Linked DNA regions of Oreochromis niloticus. Each later gene encodes a partner of the first gene's protein in a complex. Links are inferred from orthologs where the notes say so. Each region holds a gene or a part of one and is shown in the gene's direction. Other genes may lie near its edges. The genes, in order: fdx2, ndufab1b and nfs1.

What was found.
Region 2: fdx2 (region 1) and ndufab1b share a complex: the UniProt entries of both Homo sapiens proteins name them as parts of the mitochondrial core iron-sulfur cluster (ISC) complex. The link is inferred for Oreochromis niloticus from reciprocal best matches to the Homo sapiens genes FDX2 and NDUFAB1.
Region 3: the proteins of fdx2 (region 1) and nfs1 are in contact, whole or in part, in a cryo-EM structure (PDB 8RMC), measured with the Homo sapiens proteins. The link is inferred for Oreochromis niloticus from reciprocal best matches to the Homo sapiens genes FDX2 and NFS1. Residues at the interface, in NP_001384335.1 of Homo sapiens: Ala104, Cys105, Glu106, Ala110, Cys111, Pro141, Leu142, Ile169, Thr170, Arg171, Asn172, Phe173, Tyr174, Val175, Asp176, His178, Lys181; in NP_066923.3 of Homo sapiens: Gln153, Lys157, Leu160, Asp161, Arg164, Ala168, Tyr175, Ala384, Ser385, Leu386, Glu387, Pro388, Tyr390, Arg393, Gln456, His457.

The regions. Positions count from the first base shown.
Region 1 is NC_031971.2:24,686,164-24,693,149, forward strand, and holds fdx2 (ferredoxin-2, mitochondrial), read left to right. Parts: upstream 1-3,927; 5' UTR 3,928-3,979; coding exon 3,980-4,166; intron 4,167-4,518; coding exon 4,519-4,570; intron 4,571-5,161; coding exon 5,162-5,268; intron 5,269-5,354; coding exon 5,355-5,442; intron 5,443-5,560; coding exon 5,561-5,717; 3' UTR 5,718-6,791; downstream 6,792-6,986. UniProt on the Homo sapiens protein: Electron donor, of the core iron-sulfur cluster (ISC) assembly complex, that acts to reduce the persulfide into sulfide during [2Fe-2S] clusters assembly on the scaffolding protein ISCU.
Region 2 is NC_031969.2:12,086,589-12,094,064, forward strand, and holds the start of ndufab1b (NADH:ubiquinone oxidoreductase subunit AB1b), read left to right. Parts: upstream 1-4,462; 5' UTR 4,463-4,520; coding exon 4,521-4,691; intron 4,692-5,526; coding exon 5,527-5,646; intron 5,647-5,986; coding exon 5,987-6,074; intron 6,075-7,231; coding exon 7,232-7,323; 3' UTR 7,324-7,347; intron 7,348-7,433; 3' UTR 7,434-7,476. Other genes in the region: dctn5 (dynactin subunit 5), read right to left, coding at 232-343, 537-655, 745-813, 993-1,040. UniProt on the Homo sapiens protein: Carrier of the growing fatty acid chain in fatty acid biosynthesis.
Region 3 is NC_031970.2:12,150,768-12,157,766, reverse strand, and holds the start of nfs1 (cysteine desulfurase), read left to right. Parts: upstream 1-3,945; 5' UTR 3,946-4,186; coding exon 4,187-4,292; intron 4,293-5,483; coding exon 5,484-5,554; intron 5,555-5,668; coding exon 5,669-5,785; intron 5,786-6,471; coding exon 6,472-6,555; intron 6,556-6,999. Other genes in the region: lg5h6orf89 (bombesin receptor-activated protein C6orf89 homolog), read right to left, coding at 1-140.

The DNA.
Region 1 (6,986 bases):
ACTAGCGCTCACTGGATATTTTCCTTTTTTTCTGACCATTTTCTGTAAACCCCAGAGACGGTTATGTGGGAAAATCCCAGTTTTTTTTCTTTAAACATTCAGACCAGCCTGTCTGGCACCAACAACAACCATGCCACATTCAGAATCGCTTAACTGATACTCAGTTTGAACTTCAGTGAGTGGCCTTCATCATGTCTACATGCCTAAAGGCACTGAGTTGCAGGTGATTGGATGATTCGAAATTTGCATTCAACAAACAAGTAGGCTGTTCATGTGTACCTAACAAAGTGTCCAGTGAGTGTATGTTATATAATAGGAGTTGTTTAAAGTTAAAAAGAGAGAGGGAATTCAATTTCAATTCAATTCAATTTTATTTATATAGCACCAGATCACAACAACAGTCTCCTCAAGGCGCTTCGCAGGGAAAAGCTGCATTGTGGTACGTTGGAGAGAGGTGGGGGGGTGGGGTGTCATTAACAAGGAAAAAGAACAGGGGAGTGCTGATAGGAGTAATTGAAAGCACCCAAAGGACTGCAGACAAAAAAATGTGATTTTCCATGTCCCTGGAAACATAAGCAGCACATATATATGCATACTGTAGTCCCTGGGGATTCACCAGGTCACTGCATAACTGCAAAATGTCTCTGCACTATTCATGATGTCTCTGCTTAACTCTGGGTTAGCAACATTTGTTAGGAGAGTTTTTTTTTTTAAATCCAAGGGTGTGTATTGTGTGTCCACATCATTTCTAAGAAGTGCTTTGTTTAAATATTACAGTTGTGAGTAGATTTAAAAAGTAAGAATGTGGGGGTGTTTGAGTTTTTGCATAGCGTAGTCATCACGAAGCAAAGAAAATGTAATCTTAAGGAACAGCTACAGGCCACCTAACTAACCAGGTCAAGCGTAAAGAAACTCCACCCAATACATGTCAATACACACTCAAAAACACGCACGTCACACACACACACACACACACACACACACACACACACCTTCAAAACCTCGGGACAAAAGATGTAGGTTGTAAACTGACAGACTTCTCAGACACACATATAAACTGTCCTTTGACAATAGTACTATGCAGGTGTGTGTGTGTGTGTGTGTGTGTGTGTGTGGTGCATGTGTGCGTGAGTACACACATGAAAGTGTAACAGTGTTTCATTATGTGAATTTAGAGTACATAAAAAGTTATAATCTATATGCCAGCGAGTTGAGTGCCAGGGCTTACTATAAAATAAAGGGAAAAAAGCAGACAGAGGTCCCCATTTACTTTTTATAGCCATCCACACGGGAGGAACCTCCACAGCCAGAACCAGATGGGGGGTTTAGTGTGCATCTTAAACCCACTTTAAGTGTCTGCTTTTCCCCAAACCATAGTTCATTATGACACAGTGAAGGAAAGATAAGAAGTGAAGCAAGACTTCTAGTGATATCACGCAGAATGAGCTCATCGTTTTTTATTATAGGATCCCTGAGGCCAATAAATTACACCTCAAGTATCAACGCAGCGCTTTTCTGCAAAAGGGTTACATGCTTAATAGCAGCTGACTTTTTGCTCGGGTGGAAGTTGAGCACAAGAGACAGAGCAAGAGAGAAACAGAGCGGCTGAGCCTTTAACCTGCCTGTAGTCATAACATCACGTCTTTGTCTTTACACACAGTGGTCTCAGTCATACAGGGTCCTGCTGCCAGCCTGCATCATGTCTTATCTAAGATTGCCTTCAGCACATGCAGAACAGGGCAAAACATGAATTTATTGTTGTGTACCGTGGGGCATTCACAGAGGAAAGCACTGGGGCAATACTGTCTAATACTTCTGAAATATAACCTGCTTCCTTAATCAGAAGCATATAATTTTAACAGGCTTAGACTAGTCAAAGCTGCAGCTGTGTTGCGTAAGTATGTTATTTAAAATTTCTTCTTTTAAACAGTTTGAAATGTACTGCCATATTTTTTTTACATTAAGACATTATTTATATTATAACACTGAAGCATGTTTTGCACTTGTATGTGCTTATAGCTCCTAAGTGTATGGTAAATGTATTACTACCAGACATTTTGTTTAAATAGAAGGTAAAATAAAAAACCTTTATAGTCTATAATAACTTAGGTGTGCTGGTGCCTAATGGAGGCAACCTAATCTTGCTGTTTGTACTGAGTTCAGTCTATTCTTTTTTTTAACTGTTATTTAGATTTCAATTTATACTGAGTCTCCTGTGGTTAAATGTAATCTCGAACACGTCATCAATGATCTTTTTAAGGTATTAGTTCTTCAGTATTGTCTTTCTATGCTAGTTTATACAACTGTATAAAAGTCTTTGGCTATGACTCAGTTGAAAGCCAGTACTTGTTGAATATCTATTGAAACATTTGAAAACATAAATGAAAATAGAGTATATATGCAAAAAGATAGATAGTAAAAGTCTAAGGAGCTTGAAAGTCAGTATTAGGTATTATCACCTTTATTTCTGAACATGGCCTGTACTCTCATAGGCAAGCTTTCTTATACTTTCTTTAAGTAGTCTTCAGGAATAGTTATCCAGGCTTCTTGTAGTAAATTCAGAGCTCTTCTTTGGATGTTGGCTGCCTTTTGTTCTGTTCTCTGTAAAGATGATCCCACGCTGCTTTAATAATGTTGAGGTCCGGGCTCTGGGGAGAGGCAGGGTAAGAAGCAGGATACACCTTGGATGGGTCTCCAGTCTGTTGTTCGAAAACCATTCGCACTCACATTCACTAATTAAACTAATCCCACTGACTGCATGCATTGAGACTGTGGGAAAAAGCCAGAGTACCCACGCACACATGTGGAGAACATGCTGAAGGTCAGTGGATTTAAACCCAGGACCTTCTTGCTATGATGACTCAGTGCTAACCACCACACCACTGTGCTCCCATGTTCCATTGTGTGAGCGTGTGTGTTTTGCTTTCTGTCCCAGTTTGCTTTTACTGGACTGACAGAATGTTTGGAATCATTTTCATATAAAAAAAATATTATATTGGCTCTCAGATCCTTCCCAGATGGTTTTGCATGGTGGATCAAATTATTAATTTTTTTTTTTTTCTTTTTTTGCATTCAGAATTCTATCAGCTTTGACATTTAGCCTCAGACTATGACCGTCTCCACTGTGCTTTACAGATGGCTGTAGATACTTTATATCCTATATACATGTCAAATTCAGATTCATCATTCCATAAGACCTGTTCCCGTCTCAGCCTTTTCTCCCTGTTTCCCTTCCTTAGCTATCGCGTCTTCACATCCACCCTTTCACTAAGACCATTTCTGTTGAGGCTGAATTAAACAGCAAATGCAGAGGAGCAAGATGCATCTCTCAGGTCCTGTATCAGGTCTGTGCTGGATCTTCTGCTCTTTCTTAAGTACATGACTTTCAGATACTGTTCATCTTTTTTTATCATTCACTTGTGCAGTTTCCTCATTTTACGGAATTACATGAAAATCTACCCGTGTGAAAGTAAAATATAAATAAAGGAGGGATGGCTCGAGACTTTTTCATGGTGCTGTACTTCAGTACAAATTCATGTGGTACTTACTTACATACGTACTTCAATTTCTAAAATATATGAGAGCTTTGTGTGCTGACTTTTTTTAGTAAGCTGTATCATGAAATTATTCATATGTGCAACCTGTTAAACATATAAGCAGTGAAAAGAAAGTTCAAAAAAATGCAGCATTTACATATTAATACAGCAACACTAATGACTATCATAGACAGTCCCTCTCACAGGCTCCTTTCAACATAATGAGCTCTGCCACTTTTAGTAATTTCACAAAATTTTATCGTATAAGTTCATTTAGGTCCACGTGTGAACGTTTGTAACACAGACATAATCGGCCTTCTCTCACGTGCAGCTGGTGACGCAGGGGCACCCTCTGCTGTCAGAGAAACTCCTCACAGCAGAAATGTCCCCGCTCCGTTACTCGTTTCCTATTGGCTGCGTGCAGTCATGTGACCAAAACAGTCATGGCGGCCTCTGCTGCAGTCCGGTCGAGCATGGGACTGACTTTGAGGCTTTCTCGAGTTATCCCGGACTGTAGCACGTGTCCACTGTTCAGGTTAAAGTGTAATGCGAAAAATGCGGCTAATTTACAAAGGAAGGGGTCCTTTGATAGTTTCCGGACGATAAACCGACACTTACAGACGAGTATAGGTGAGTGGTGCAGCCTGCTAACATTTAGCCTAAAGCCGGTTTTCCTGTCAGGACTGTTTGTTTACGATAAGTCTGAATAGGTACTTATAATTTTTCTTCTTGGTGGAGTTTCAGTCATCGGCGATGCCAGGCAAGTTAGGCATTGCAGGAAGTCTGTAAAATTAGCAGTAATCTGCCTGGAAAGTCGGTTCAATAACACTTGTGTAACTTCGTTTCAGCATTCCCAGTTAGGGATGGTAAACTTCTGAAACTTGGGTGCAACAAGTAAATCAGCCCCATTATCAAAGTGGAGGAGCTGATGTCACCTTTGAATACTCTCACAGTAATGATGGCTGTGTTGCTCTTTCCTCAGGTCTTTACCACAGTGAGGAGGGGAGCTCCAATGCAGAGGACCCTGAGGATGTGTAAGTCAGCTGAGGCTTTTATTGTGAAATAACAGGGTACGGTGAACTGCACATAACTGGATGCATCGTAATACTTTTAATAAGAATTGTTATCACAGCTACTTCTGTCAAAAACTAAAGCCGAAGTTGCACGTAAGTGTAAATGGACAAATTAAAATAACTCACAACCAAAGCAGCGGCTGGATCCAGTTTAAAAGCACCCTAAACCACCACAGAGTGCTTATGCAAATCATTAATTTGAGAGCACATACTTAAAAATAAGCAGACCTCTTGTTGCATTTAAAGTTCTTTTTATTTAAAAATAAATAAAATACCAGATAAGCTTAAAAAATAGACCTCTGATACTTATTAGATAAAATTATTTATAGATTTTCAGACTTCATTATTTGTATATATTTTGTATATTATAAGTTGAGAATGGTGGAATAAACACTTGAATTATGGCCAAACACACATAAATGTCTGTTTCTTTAAAAAAACAAAAAACAAATTTTCTTTAAAAGCTCATCTAATCTTGAATGCATCACAGATGTGAGATATTGTATCACCTGTTTGTTTGTTGCTTTTAATAGTTTGATGTCTTCTGTTCAGTGTCAACGTGGTGTATATAGATCGGTCAGGCCAGAGGATCCCCGTGAAAGCTAAAGTGGGAGACAATGTCCTCTACCTGGCTCACAAGCATGGCATTGACCTGGAAGGTGAGGATCATTACAGATGAACTTTAGATGAACACCATTATCCTTGCACCATTGTCATTGAGATATTTGTGTCTTGGAATATTTAGGAGCCTGTGAAGCGTCTCTTGCTTGCTCAACATGTCATGTTTATGTGAGTGCTGCTCATTTTGACAAACTGCCAGAACCTGAAGAGAGGTAGGACTGCTACCAGTGCCATCTTATTTGACCATGTCACATTAAGTTTGGCAAATCTATGTGATGCAGTTTGAAAAAAAAAAAAATCATTATTATTGACATATATATCCATTCATAGGGAGGATGACATGCTTGACATGGCGCCGATGCTGCAGGAGAACTCCAGGCTGGGATGCCAGATCATTCTCACTCCGGAGCTTGATGGGATTGAACTAACCTTGCCCAAAGTCACCCGGAACTTCTATGTGGATGGCCATGTTCCCAAACCTCACTGAGAAGTGAAATAGAGGGTGAAGATGGGGTGTGGAGAAAAACTGGAGCTTTTAGCTTGGCGCTAGGCACCATGTGTACTGGTTGAGTTTGGGAGGGGGGGGGGCAACCATGGAAAAGGCATGACAAGGATAGAAAAGTCCATAGCAACTCCCAAGATGTCTTAACAACTGACTAATTCTACAGTTAACCACTGACAGGACAGTCCCTGCAGATGAGATCAGGCAGAGTCAGACACTACATCTCACAGTAGGTGATGTTACTTGGAAAAAAAACAAACTTTAAAAAACAAAAAGATGTTTAACAAATCCTGTATTTTTTGTTTTGTTTTGGGGGGTTTGTGGCACGTTCTCAGGCCAGCTTTATGACACCATTCAATCAAACTGTTCTTTTTTTGGAAAAAAAAAAGAGAACTGCAGGGGAAGACTTTATTTAACAGAGTTAAATCTTTCTGCTGATTAATGGAACATTCCTTGTTACAGCTCAAATACGCACAAGTATCACAAGATTGTCATTATCGTTTTGGCTAGTCCATTATTATCACTCTTGTCAGGTATTATATGCATAGCATTTACTTTTGTATGCACCATGCTCATTTATACATTTTTGTGTCTATGATGTAGAAGTACATTCTCACTGCCACGATCATCCTATTCTGCAAGACAGAAAAAAGCCATAAACAGTCATGTTTGCCTGATTCTTAAACACGGGCTCCTAAGAAATCAAAGCAGAATTTATACTATTGAAACTTATTTTGTATTTGCTCCAAACATTTCAGAAACATTCATGTGAATTGCATTTCAGATAAAAAGGTGTTTTAAAGCATTTCTTTGTAACTGTCAGTGATTAAGGCTTGATTAGAGGATCTGGTCCAGCTGGTTCCATAGCAGGATGGTGGAAATGGAAGTAGGACTGCATGGAAGCTGGTGATCTTCATGTTACCATAGTTTAAGTTTACCACATCTACCTTTTACTCAAGTCTACTGTACTTGTCCAACTTGCGCACAAGTGAATTGTGTATTTTATGTCTGATGAAATACAAATATTTTAAGTTGTGCAATAAAATCTGTTTAAAAAGATATTTTGAATAGTGCACTCACTACCTGGGGGCCTGGGCCTTCATAAAAAGGTCATTGTGCCCCCTCACCTGAATTCTACTAATGAACAACTTGAAACATTTGCGTCACTGAGGTTATTGCAGCCCAAGCTGAAGTTAATTGGTTAAATGAAGCTCAGTGCTTCTGCAGCAGTTGCAGAAAATGGCATGACTGGGG
Region 2 (7,476 bases), on another chromosome or scaffold:
TTCCCCTATTTTTGTGATCCAAATCAACAGTGTAAAAAAAAAATGCCAGCTTATGTTTTTTGTTTATTAATTCAGCCCTCGACTGCCAGCAGAACGTTGCATGACTGCCATGTGACTGGTTCACCACAGGCAATAAAGACATGCTTTCTGTTTATTCTCTCCCTTCACAGCGATGTCCTTTCACTGCCGAGGAGCTAGCTGTGTGCGTGTGTGAGATTTTATTTCACTCACTATGACACAGTTCTTCCCAATGTGGACGTAGGAACCAATCTGTGCTGCGTTGACCACGCAGTCCTCCTCGATGAAGACGTGGTCTCCAATGTGCAGCGGGAAGAAAGCCACCCTGCAGGGGGCGACAGGGCAGTGATGAGACATATGCTTTTTCTGCTTACCATATTCTCTCCTTTATTCATTTGTACAGTGACTTTAAATATATCTTGAGTGACAATAATTAAAAACAATCTCAAAGCATCTTCATCTTTATCTAGAACATGAAAGCAGATGGCTGGCCTGAACGTGTGTCCAAGATACTTTACCCTTTGCTGAACTTTTTGAAAGGTGGTCGAATAACACTCCGGCTTTTCACCACGCAGTGTCTGCCCACCCTGACGTTAGCAAGGTCCCCCCTGATGATGCAGTCATTCATAACAATAGTCTGCAAGAGAGAACATCCAAAGACTAAGCTTTAGCACAGCTGGACAGTCTCTATTCACAGTGTCATTTCCAGGTGTGTGTTTTCCTTACTTTGCCGTTCAAGACTATGTTTTGACTCCCACATAGTACCGACTGTCTGCTCACTTTGTTGCCAGAAGCCTGAAATAGAACAATAACAACGGTTAATAATCGTGTGAACGATCGTATCTGTTTCTGTCCACATAAATGAACACAAACAACCGTCTCTGCTCTCCGCCCAACGCCCCGTTCACTTTCTGCTTGGACAGATAGCAGGCTACGTTAGCTTAAACAGCGGTGATTAAAATCCCACACAGTACCGTCTCAATGTACTCCGCTTTGTTGTACAGTATTTCAGACAACTCCATGGCTGGAAACCCGCTGAACTATCAAACACAGCGATGATTATTCTGCGATACTGTCTAAAGCATCGATCCGGATTTTCTCTATGGGAAGCTCCTTCTACGCTTCTCTTCTGCGCAAGCCCGGACGTGACGCCATCAAATAACTTTATTTAAAACATGAGAAATCGAGGAACAGAAAAACAAACAAACAAAACAGACATAATAGATATTCATGTGTAAAGATTAAAAAATAAATAAAAACTACTACTACTACTACTAATAAAAGCTTTTATAAACAACAACTGTCTGTATATTTTGTGATAGGTTCGGGGATTTTTTTTATGATTTCTCCAATGAGACTAAAAACACTGAGGGTTAAGCTGGGTTTAACTGAAGTGGTGGCCCGAAAAGCTACATGCGCTGTGCAGCAGGGGCGGTTCTAGAAGGGTGGCATGGGAAGTGCCACCCTAAAATGATCCCTTGCCACCCCAAGTGCACCCCAGTTTTGCATATGACAGTGTTGTTTATTAAAATAGGATAGCATTAACACTTTGAGCGTAGTTACAGTCAACAGTGAATATAAATGCTAAAACTGAATATATTGCATAGTGTTACCCCCCCCGCACCTTTAACAAATGGTTCAGCCCATAGCAGGACCGGCTTTTTTCTTGTTTTCAGTAGCAAGTGATGCTTATGGTTGTTCCAGAGCACATTTTGAACAACACCATGGGGATTTCAGATTTCACACAGGTAGTTGGTTGTAACACTCTGGAAATGGAATGAAGATGAGTGTTATTAACCCTCTGTGGTCCACGGACACGCTGCACCTCCAAATCACATGACTGATTTAAGCAACAAGCTGCAGCCACGCTGAGTCTCTATTTCAGCCCATATTGAAAGTTCGGACTTCAAAGTTTTTAAATTTTAATTACAGCCCAGTAAATCCAGAGTTATGATAATATACATAAGCCATGCTTTTTTCTAAATACTGTCATCACGTTTTTTTCTGTGTGTATGTTTTTTTTAAAGCGTTTTCTAAGGACAGCGCGAAAACAGTAAAGAAAGAAAAAAAGCCACCTCTTTCCTATCGGTGGAAAAATGTACCATGCAGACCAATTTAGAAAAAAGTCAACATGTGGGATTTGGTTGTTTAGGAAGAGGGGAAAGTTTTGGGAGTGACGGTAACGGCAGCGAGACAGAGCGAGCGAGTGAGAAAGAGAGAGTTTAGATGTGGGAGATTTATGACGTTTAGTGTGGAGTGTATACTTAGTGTGTTGTGTTGTCTTGTGTAGTTGTTCTGTTGTGTAGTCGTTTTGTTTTGTGTGTCAGTGATGGCACTAATGAATGTCACAAAGGCACATTTGCAATGTAAACACTGTCAATAAGTAGAGAACCAGCGGAGTGATACACCTGCTGTTGTCAGGCCTGCAGGTTTATCCCTGTGCTGTTCGCCTCTGTCTTTTGGTGGAAAAACATTTTTTTACTGCCACACATAATTTGTGACACCTGATTGTTCTCTCATTTTAGTTTTAGTAATATTTTTAAATGGTTGTACAAAATGGAAAAAAAAACCCAGCAGGTGTATTGGCTGCATTTTTAGATAAATAGTTGTATATGTTTATAAATGTACAATTTATATTTGCATTTCAAGTTATAAAAATTTACTCAACATGTCTGTGGGTTTTTTTACAGTAAAAAAATACTACCAGGATTTTAAGTTCTTTGTGTGATTTCAGATCAGTAATACTAATGCAGTATGTCAGTGAAAAAAAACAACTACATTCAGACAAATTCAGCTGAGCTGAAAAGAATGATACCAAACAAGGCAAGGGGAAAAAATAAAATGAAACAATTTGAGGGTGAAATATGAACGTAAACTCAAAAGGAGTCAAAAATGTCCGGTTGTATTTCAGACCTCAGTGGGTTAATCCAACAAATCAAGAAAAATTAGGTTTAAATTTTTGTTCATGACAGTGCAGATTTCTGACATTTTGTGTAATTTAAGCATGTAACAACGTGATTGTTTTCTAACAAAAAACAGTGTGAAACTTAAGTTAGACTTGTGTTTGTAAATGTACCGCCCCATGTTGTGTAGCTTTCTGGATTTTATACTTATTGGGCTACATATTTATTTATTATACAGGCTATACAGTACATAGCATCAAAACTCACATGTTTTATGTAACTAAAGTGTTTAATTATGTGGGCTACAGACAATAATTAAGTTATAGACTATATTTATATGAAAAGCATGTATACTTACTGCATTTGAATCATTTTAACCATATGTAACCACCTGCATATGTGTATGGTAAAAAAGGCTTTGATTTTGCCACCCTATTTGATTGCTTTGCCACCCTCATGCCACCCTAAGAAAATTTCTCTAGATCCGCCCCTGGTGCAGCGGTGATGAGGAAACTTAAAAACAAGATCCTGGAGGAGTGTTTTTAAACAGCCGGGACCTTCAGAGAGAGGAAGAGCAGAGGAAGAGACTCTGGACACTCGAGGGTTTTTGTCAGAGGATATGTTATTCAGGCAGGTGGGACGGAAGTAGAAGAAACAGGAAGATGAAAAGGGCTGTGGCTCTTACAAACTGAAGTGTAATCTGCCTGAAACCCTGGAGACATCACTGCTACCTGGATCTAGCAATCAGGCAGTCAAAACTCCCAGAGGAGGCAGAGAAAAAGCCGACACAGGGAAAAACACAGAAACACAGCTTCCATGGGAGCTTCCATGTCTGATAAACTGAGCCTAAAAGTTTGTCGTTGTCCATTTTTATTATCTAATTTTTGTAGACTTCATAACTTCATTTTAGCAGTATTATTGTACACCTAAAGAGCTGAAAGCAACATCTTCGATACTTGTTTTTGTTTCATTTGCACAATCCAAGTCTTGTTTTATGAATGTGAAAATCTCCCAAGAGGGACATCATTACTCTCAAAGCATACTATGATGACCTTTTTTCGAAGTTAGATTATTTTTTTAGGTTTCCCTCTAATATAATGCTCCACATCTGTCCAGATCATTGTGCAAAATACACTCTGATGTGCATCTGCAGCTCACAAAACGTGCAGGAATATTCGACGTCGTGTGTAAACATCTCCGGTGTTTGTTTGGTTTTTTACTGGATATATCTTATGAATTATTTGAAAAATAAACTTTATTGCCACATTAAAAGAAGATATGAAGTGGAGCAAGTGTCGTTTTACTCATTTAGATAATCATAAAACGACTCTGTGATCGATTAGTCTTCCCTGGATTGAATCCTTGCTCTTTAACATTTTTATTTTCCAGTTAAATCAAAGTCATTGGCAGGTTCTCAGTACCCATGTGCTCGTGGTGAGAAATGGACGGGGTTTAAATTTTAAAAAAAGCGCAGATAAAGCGACAAATTAGAAATAAACACAAGGTTTGCACTGTGCGCATGCGCAACGCGAAGCCCTTGACCCGCTTTTCTTCTTCTTCGCCTCGCACGCTGGTAGCTCCCAGTAACTGCTCTCCGTCATGGCGGCTCGTGTCCTGCAGCAGTGTGTCCGCTCCTTCGCTCGGCCCTCGCTGAGGCTTTGCTCCAATAACCTCGCATTAAGAGTTACTGCCGCCCCGGCGGCGGCTGTTCACCGACCTCTCTCCTTCGCTGCAGACAGCCGGAGGACGCGGTGGCTCGTCCAGAGCCGGGTGAGTCTCCGGTAACATTGAACCATCGCGGCCTAGCCGCTGTGACCTACCGATGTCTTTCAGAGCTGTGGGGCCAGCCTAGCCCGCTGAGAGTTCACGGTGTCACACGAGCAGCCTGTTTCGCTTTGAACGACTCTGTGTTGTTGTGGCAGAGAAACACGAAACACGGAGGGGTTTGCTTTTAAAAACGGAACAGCCATGTTTTCCCTGTTGGCTAGCTAGCTAGTTAGCAAAGTCGGTGATTTCATTGACAGACTTGTGTTGTTGCACTTGCAACTTCATTCTTTAACCTAGCCTAGCACTGCACGACTGATTCTGGCTAAACACCAGATACTAATGTGCAGCAAGGTAAAGCACTGTTGCAGTGCGGATGTTATTATGTATTACGTTAAGTGTGTTTATATAACACTGTTAGAATAATGTTACAGGTGTTTTAGCAAGCTGTGCACAACCTGAAGTGGGTGTGCAGCGTTGTAAGTGAACACTAATGCGCTGATAAATGCGTTTAATTGCAAATTTAGTCAAATGAAACCATAATGCAGTAATTACAGTTGAGATAATAAAGTCAGCCACACATTAAAAGCTTGAAAAGCAGCACAGATTTCCTCTTGGTCAAAGTTAAGTAAGATTTAAGTTTTATTTTGAAACTTGGATAAACTTTTTCCAGCCTTTACATCTGTACTGTTGCACAGTGTACTCGAAGTTATTGCTTCTTTTCACACTGTATGTAGTACACTCTCACTTGAGGCAAGCTAATGTATAGGCTGCATGATCACAACCCCCCACTCCCCTCTGCACTAATAATTTCTTCCCTTTTCTTCTTTGCAATCCTTAGATCCCCTCGGTGGGTGTGCTGTGTCGACAGTACGGAGACCTGCCCCCCCTCACTCTAGAAACCATCAAAGAACGAGTCATGTATGTACTCAAGCTCTACGACAAGATCAACCCAGAGAAGGTGAGAACAACAAGAGACCTTCAGTGAATTCTAGCTGAAAGATGTATGAATATAACACGTTCACAGGTATCTGTGAGGTGAAATTAGGCAATCGCGACTCATCCCTATCCAGAATGGCTCATGGAAATTGTTTTTGAAAAGTTTGCTGTTTTTAATGTATTAAATGTAATAAAAATTAGATTTTTAACTTGGAAAAATAATCTAAAATTAATACTATCATTCCTCATGTAGATTTGGTTTGTTTTATTTTGTAAAGCACCCTGAAATGCCTGTAGTGTTTGCAAGTTTCTGTATAAGTAAGCTTGAATTTCTAACCCTCTGGTTGGTTTCTGTTCCACAGCTGCAGACGAGCTCTCACTTCATGAAAGATTTGGGTTTGGACAGCTTGGACCAGGTGGAGATCATCATGGCCATGGAAGATGAGTTTGGTGAGAGCAAACCTCTTTACACTGCATAGAAAACTATTCCAAACTGTGGCTCTAGGCATTAAGTCAGCAAAAGAGATGTTTCTGACTCCTACAGTGCAGTGCAGAATGTGACTGCTGTTGTACTGCCACAGTGGAAGTAATTGAATAGGAATCTTAGATTTGCCTGCATGTGTGGATATGAAACACCAGTCTTGCAGTCTTCCTACCTGTTGAGCGTCAAAGTGCTGTCAAGTTTGTCTTCAGAGGGTAAATGTGGCGCTCTGTGTGGACGTCCCACATAAAGCAAGATTTACTCAGAGTATATCCTGTGGTAGAAACACTGTAGTACACATCATTCTACAGTATTTATTTGTTGGATTCATCTTGAAAACTGATTTAGAAAGTGATTGAAGGTTGCAGTTTGTTGCTTTTTACTTTTTGACTTGTAATAATTCTGCAGATTTAAACGAATCAGGAATCTGTACTTTTGATAAATGGCTGATTTATATAATCTGTTTGGGAAGTAAATAGTAAACAGGGATGAGGAGATGGAGCAGCCATTCTGCAAATTAGAAGGTTGGTGGTTTGATCCGAAGCATCTTGGGGCAAGATACTGAACCTGAAACTTCAGTGTGTTTATTGGAGTGCGAATGAGACGTGTTGTATGAAGTGCTGTTAGTGCTCTATAAGAATCAGTCCATTTAGCATGAGTGCACACAGGAGCCTCAGTGGTGACTTCTTAGTCAAATGGTAGGTTTGATAACTGTACATCAGGGCTAATGCACTTCCATACAAGGTCAAGGCCAGGTCAAGAGGTAAAAGGAAGTCCTTTCAGAGCCTTTGTCTAAACTCTGTCCTGGGTGGATTTATAGTATGCTGAGAACAGGGTTCTTAGAGGGTTCTAGAGTCATTTTTGGCAGTTAGCAGAAAATTTAAATCAGAATCAAATGACTTTTTTTTTCTTATTTTAATCAGTTAGTGCATCAGTGCAGTGACTCTTAAGATAACAGACTAACAGCTTTTAATGTGTGACCATAACCCCCACAGGTGAGGACGTAGTACCAGCGAGATGTTTGCGACCATCTGTGCAGAAAGCCGCTTATTCGTCCAGCATTATCGATGCATGTCACATGGCTTCTTTAGCACACGCCGTAACCAATAACTTGTTTGTGCTGCAGGCTTTGAGATCCCAGATGCAGAAGCAGAGAAGTTGATGACTCCTGAGGAGATCGTACAGTACGTCGCAGACAAGAAAGACGTTTATGAGTAATCTGCTCTGTAGCACACCACAGAGGCAAGTCACCACCAGGCCCAGTTTTCTGTCTTTGGTCACATGTTGTTGTGTCGGGGCTCAATTTATATTCCTTTGTGCCCACATAGGGTCACCTCCACCCCACCCACCCAACACGAAGTTCTTGTGAAG
Region 3 (6,999 bases), on another chromosome or scaffold:
TCGTTGGTCTCCAGGACCTGCTTGATGAACCTCTCGATCTCCCTCTCCGACATTCCATAGCGGTAACCCGACTGACGGAGGATGTCGATGCTCTCGGACAGTTTATCATAAATACACGGCTCGCTCATCGTTGTCCCCATGATGGCGGCAGTGGCGACAGCTTCTTAGTCAAACGTGTCGATTTTCAGTTGCTAAAGGCTCTTGGAGCATGGCGTCACCTGTGAAATCAACCAAGGGGTCAGCTGACATGTCACAGCTTTCAGCACTAGCAAGTTACCATCACTGAAGGTGCAGATAATGTGGAAATACTTCTATGTTTAATCTGAATGTGGTTGAAAGTTTCCTCCATTGCCCTCTTGGCCACTCACACAAACAAGTTTGTTCTTCCAGACACTGTCACAAACCTTTCAAATGAATTTCTGGCTTTCATAACTAAAACATATATTACAATATCATCCCTACTACCATCTTGATTTGTGAGATTAATACGGCGGATTTATTATCTTCATGCACAGTTGCAAATTATTATTTGACTTATTAGATCAGCTCTGCAGGACTCTCAAAAGGTCCAGTACAAGTCTCATCTTGTACTCTGTGCAATTGCTTAGGGCAAAAATTAGAGTCCCGGGATCTCAATCTGGGCTTCAACGGAGTCCAACTACAATGCTTAGACAGCAGTTCTTGTTCTGCATTGGAGATCTGCTGCAAACTGGAGGCTCATGCTAACAGTAATCTGCAGCATGTGGAGAACTGGTTGATGTGTCGCTATGCTGACATCACCAAAGCTGCAGAGGAGAACAAGGACAACCAGCTGCAGCCCAAGATAGGAGAGCTAGAATCCTTCCAGCAGATGAAAAACTCAATGAAGAGATGTCTGATACCTGCTCTGTTAATTAGAGCCAAAAACTACTATAGAGTAGCATTTATTAATAAACTTAAAGAAAATGGGGATGCACCTCCTTTCACATAAAAATGCACACACTCTGACCAAGCCACAGCTTTTATTAATTTTTAAGAAGCTAGGTTGAGATCATCTGTGGGCCATATTCTCTTGTGTCAGTTCTACATGGACTTTGGCATCAGTTACAGATAACTTTGCAAAACAGCCCTGTTCTGATAACATGAGGTTGGTGGCAACATTTACATATGCAGCACTCCAAAAATGCCCGTTAAGAATGCTGCATGTATAATTTTAGAACTTCTTTTTTCTGACAGCAAGAATTAAAAACCCCACAGGGACAAGTACTTCTTTTACCCTTCATTTCAAATGAAGGGTATATGATCTCTAAAGTCCTGTTCACAGATCAGTTATGTACTTGAGCTTGGTTTCGAACATCTAAATAAGTAAATAGTGAAGAGAACCTATGTATTTGTTTGTTTGTTTATTGCTATCTGATCATAATGAAACAAGTGGTTCTTTCCAAAAGAAAGGGTGCAGGCCAAAGCAATGGCTTGCATACGATGCACCCCACATACATAAAACAAGCATCCAGAAAGTAACATTATAACAGAAACATTACCAGATAGCCACAGTATCAAAGCTGGAATCCGAGACTTGCACTTGTGGAGCAGGACGATAATTAGAAGCATGCCACCAAATGGCTCAAAGAAACAAAACAAAAAACAATATAAAGGTTTTGAAGTATCCTAGGCAAAGTCCAGGCTTAAATCCGATTAAAATGTTTTGGCATGACCTTAAAAAGGCTTTTTGTGCTTAAAAATCCAGAATTAAAACAATTCTGTCAATAAGGGTGGGCCACAGTGATGTGAAACACTCATTGCCAGTCATCACAAATGCTTGACTGCAGCTCTTGCTGCCAAGAATGGCAAAACCAATCAGCTTTAGGGCCAATTACTTTTTCACACAGGGTCGAGCAGGTTTGTGTAGCTTTTTTCAGTTTGTAAATTAAACCATCATTTAAAAACTGCATGTTTTATTGACTTGGGTTTCATTTTTTTAATATTAAAATTTATGTAACAAATTTAAAAATAAAGTAAAACACATACACACATCAAAAAGGAAAAAAAAAAATCAGGGAGGGGGAAATCACAGCACGGTACGCTGCAAAATATGGGGATCAAGGTAAAATTAGTGGACCCTGTCTCCACACAGACTGTCCAGTGTAGGTAAACTGATAAATATTTCTCACTTACTTATGTTCCATAATAATATCTATACGAAAACAAGAACGATAAGCTACTATTACATATTCCAATACAAATTCAGTTTCAATGCGAACGTGATATCAGACTCAGACTCGGGAGTTAAATCCCCACAGTGTTTAGTTCTGCTTTTTACTCGTCGTTGTAAATAACAAGTAGGCATTGACGCTCATGTTGGCGTCTAACGTTCAGGAAACTAGTTTTCTCTCCTCTTCATCTTTAATAACTACGATCAGTGCAGCTGCTACGACCAGAAAACGCATGTAAATGTTAAATATAACACTACCTAATTTATTCGTTAATTTGACAGAAGCATAAACCCATTATATTATTTGATACGAATAAAAACAAAACCCCAAAACGTTTTTACCGTCCTGCCAACAGCAGCATACTGACAGATTAGCTCGTCTCTGCGAGCTTTCACATTACGAGCAGAAACCTCAAACTCACCTCAAAGCGAGATCCACCGCTCAAAAGGTTTAATCTTCCATCTCCGGTGTTTTTAAAAATAATATATAAATAGAGTTTTTAAAAGTGACCTAGCTAGGTAGCTAATGAGCTACATTCGGCTTCTCTTCCGCTTCTACCTTTTCTTCTTCTGTATTGGGCGAACATCAAAAAAGCGCCACCAGCTGGTATGGAGTTTGGGTCTGAATTTAAATATTGCATTATCCATCCATTCTCTTCGAGGTCGCTGGAGTCTATCCCAGCTGTCTTAGGGCGAGAGGCGGGGTACACCCTGGACAGGTCGCCAGTCTGTCGCAGGGCTAAAACATAGAGACAGAAAACGATTCGCACTCACATTCACCTATGGGCAATTTTGGAATCACCAATTAACCTCACCCAACGTCTTCGGACTGTAGGAAGAAGCCCGAGAGAACCAACGCAAACAGGGGAGAAGATGTAAAAACTCCTGATGGTGGAAGTGAACTCAGGACCTTCTATGCTGTGAGGAAACAGTGCGAACCACTGCTAGCAAGATTGTTCTTGTCTTTGTACTTTTACACTGTTAAGCATAAAGTCTTACTCCTGAAATATACACAAATAGTTATACAGTACAACACTTTCCCCCAAAATTTTACTGAAGCAAAAATAGATTATTTAAAAGTAGTGTACTCATAAGATGCTGAAACATACTGAAACCACATTGCACAAACTCGTTGCTTTAGCCAACCAGAAAGCAGAAGCGGTACCAAAACACAGAAAATTAACGAATCAGAGTGGCGAATGTTCACAGGAACTCCCGCCTCCTATTTCCGTTTCTTGTGCAACCATGAAACAGCATCGACATCGAGCTGCGTCAAGCTATCAAAGTAACCGAGTGAAGACACTGTAAAGAGGCGGAAGCTTAAAGTTAAAATAATGGGATTTTTTAAATGTATTGCATAATTTGTTTTGGCTGCTATAACACCAGGACTCCCAAGTTTTTGTGATAAAGAACATCTTCCATTATCTTACTTAAATTAATTAACAGAAACCTGAAGTTTTTACCCTGTAAAGTCCAAGACATCATTACTGGTGACCCTAGTCCAATTCTATGATATTGTTTTTACATTGTTACTTGCATTTATTTATCTGTTGTTGTTTTTTTTCTCTCCCCTTGACAATCAGAGGACAAAAATAGCTATCAATCCGACTGATAAGTATCCAAATATATGTGCATATTATTTATTTTTTCAGAAAATAATCCATTTTATATGAACAAAAGCAATGGTTATCAATGCGATGGTTGTGAAAAGCTTTTAATTTGAAAGTCTCACACGGAAGTGTTCGTGTTACGTATTCATCTTGACGTTTGTGTTTATACCTGGACGTAACAGACAGGCGGCAACATCACCGAACTTCACTCAAATTTAACCTCATGTTTAAGTAGTGATATATTTTTTTAATTTTCTTGTCGAGGAACCAGTGGGTTAAACTGGTCTGTGCCAAGTTTTCTGTTTTGCTGGTGTTCATATTACGAACAGCGTGCTGTTTTTGACGGAGGTCAGCGGCTTTCCAGTTAAGCCAGTCCACTGACAAGATGCTTGCCTCGGGTAGGACCGTGTCCTCCCGGCTGCTGAGGCCAACCGCGTGGCTTCCTCTCCGGCTGAGCTCCGAGCGGACGGCCGCTAGCTCCCCGCAGAAAGGTAACAACAGCCCGGAGCAAACTGGGTAGCTTATCCCCCCAAGACCAACTAGCACGAAGCTAATCCCAAAGTGACGCAGTTTAGTAAGGAGGCAGGAAACTTCACAGCATCTGTAAACTGTCAGGTTAACTGACCACTTTAAAATGCCTGTGAGGTCAGGAAAACCTAAAACATACTAAATTAAAACACTAAAAAACGGGAAGTTCACGAGAACTAGCTGACTGGCACAAGATGAAGCAATCTTGTTAAATAACTGTTTAAAAAAGATTTTAATTTATGTTCTGATATTCTCTGTCTCACTCTCCATTTTTATAATGTTAAAATCTGGCACGTTACTCTTGACTTCATTGCCAGATTGACAACATTTTTTTAATGTATTTTATACAAAAATGCGTTAAAAATATGGAGTCAGGCCGAAATTTGTGCTCATTGTCTCCACACAGATGAGTCAGTCTAGAGAAGTGAAAATTAATTAATCTATTCATTTGTGGTCATTAGTTCATTAGTTAATTCATAAGACTAATGGGAAGATTGTTGTTCTACTTATTAAATGAGGCAGAATAAAGACCAGTCCCACGTTCTTTATTTTAAATATAAAATAAGCACAAAGCAAAATGCTACTATTACATATTCCATACAAATATGCCTTGACACTGAGTCAGGGTTTTAAAAAAAATTTTTATCTGAGTTTTTAATTTTTGTTTGGCTGTAAAGGCACAATTGATGATGAATTTAACTAATTGATGACCTCCTGCCTGGTACAGATTTATGACCCAGTATGTTATTCCAGATCTGATTAAACACTTAGTAAAATGCTCTTTTCAGGCAGATCTTTAAGTCTCATAAAACACTGAATTGAGTTTCCTTGTTTAGTTTTTTTTAAAAAGTGGAAAAATCACATTGACTTTTAAATGTAATGAACAGCTTGTGACTTTACTGATTTATGAACTTCTAAATAAACATTTAAACATTAAACATTTTTTTAGTGTTTAGCTAATCCATTTATCAATTTACTGCCAGTTACCTAGGTCAAGGTGAATAAAAAATAATTCAAGGCCATATTGTCTTAACAGTTTTCCCATTGATTTCACAATTTAAATGCTGTTTTTTTTTTTTTTTTACATTAATAAATTTAATGTGGTCTTAAAAATGGCTTTAAATGTCTTAAATATACTGTACTTTATGCTGCAGAGTTGATCAAGAAACATGAACAGGATGAGCTTCGCCCCCTCTACATGGACTTCCAGGCAACCACTCCCATGGTAACTCTTACTAAGCGTTTTCTCACTTTTACAGGCTTCTACAGCTGATGTCAGAGAGAGTTGGACATAAAGCTGGTTGTACTTAGAGTTTCATATGTTTGTGTGTGTCTTTAGGATCCCCGGGTGCTGGATGCCATGTTGCCATACCAGGTGAATTACTACGGTAACCCTCACTCCAGAACGCATGCCTACGGCTGGGAGAGTGAATCTGCCATGGAGACCGCTAGGAAGGTAGAGAGCTGCTCCATCTTTAGAAAAGTGTAAATAAGCACAGCCCAGATATGGCCCTTGGCTAGTTTAAATCTGGTCCATATATCACTTTGGCTTGCTCAGTTGTAGCTGTGGTATGCAAAGAGACGTAGGCCTCATGCAAGCTAGTGAACACACCAAAATGGAGCGCTGATGCTGAATGTTTGAATTCAGATTTCACTGAGAGTCACTGACTGACTGTATGTATATATGCATGCGCACACACACACACACACACACACACTGAACAGGTATTATGTCCACTGACAGGTGAAGTTTGTCTTCATCATGGCAGCTGTTAGTGAATGGAATATATTAGGGAGCAAGTGAGCATTTTGTCCTCAAAGTTTATGGGTTAAATCAGGAAAAATGGCCACGCATAAGAATTTGAGCAAATTTCTCAATGGCCAAATTGTGATGGCCACTGGGGCTGAGTTAGAGCATCACCAGAACTGCAACTCTTGTGAGGTGTTCCCAGTCATCAGTATCTTTCAGAAGTGGTACAAGGAAGGAACGGTGATGAACCAGCAACACGGTCGTGAGCGGCCAAGGCTTATTGATGAACTCATAAAAGTGGGCCAGATCTATTATGGAAAAATCAGATTAGAAACATGTGAGTGAATCTGTTTGGTGAGGTTTTTTGGGGTTTTTTCTTGCTCTCTGAGCAGCAGGTGGCTGATCTGATTGGAGCCGATCCCAGGGAGATCGTCTTCACCAGCGGAGCCACAGAGTCCAACAACATGGCTATCAAGGTCCTACTCTCTTGACCTTAATCACTTTCTCTCACACAAACACGCACAGGTTTTGTTTTGGTGAAAACTGATCAAAAATATAAAATGCGGACAACAGATTAAAAATACAACTCTTACAAAATAAGAACACTGTAAAAAACAAAGTGATAAACTACATGAGAAATAAAAAAGAAGATATGAACAAAACCATGAAAACACATAAAACAGTTAGAGCAAACTTAGAATGTGAACTGATTAATAAAACTCCTTAAAACAAAGCTGTCATTAACAAAACTCTTTGTATTGTTAATGATTTGGATCCTTCTTCTGAATCAAACTGTACAATATTAAAATGCAAAAACTTGTGATAAAAATGGAATTTGTCAATCACGTTGAGAACATTTAATTAAAAGAACTTTACTGTGCACATTAGGCAAATAAGTCAGCTGACAGGAAAAAGTATCA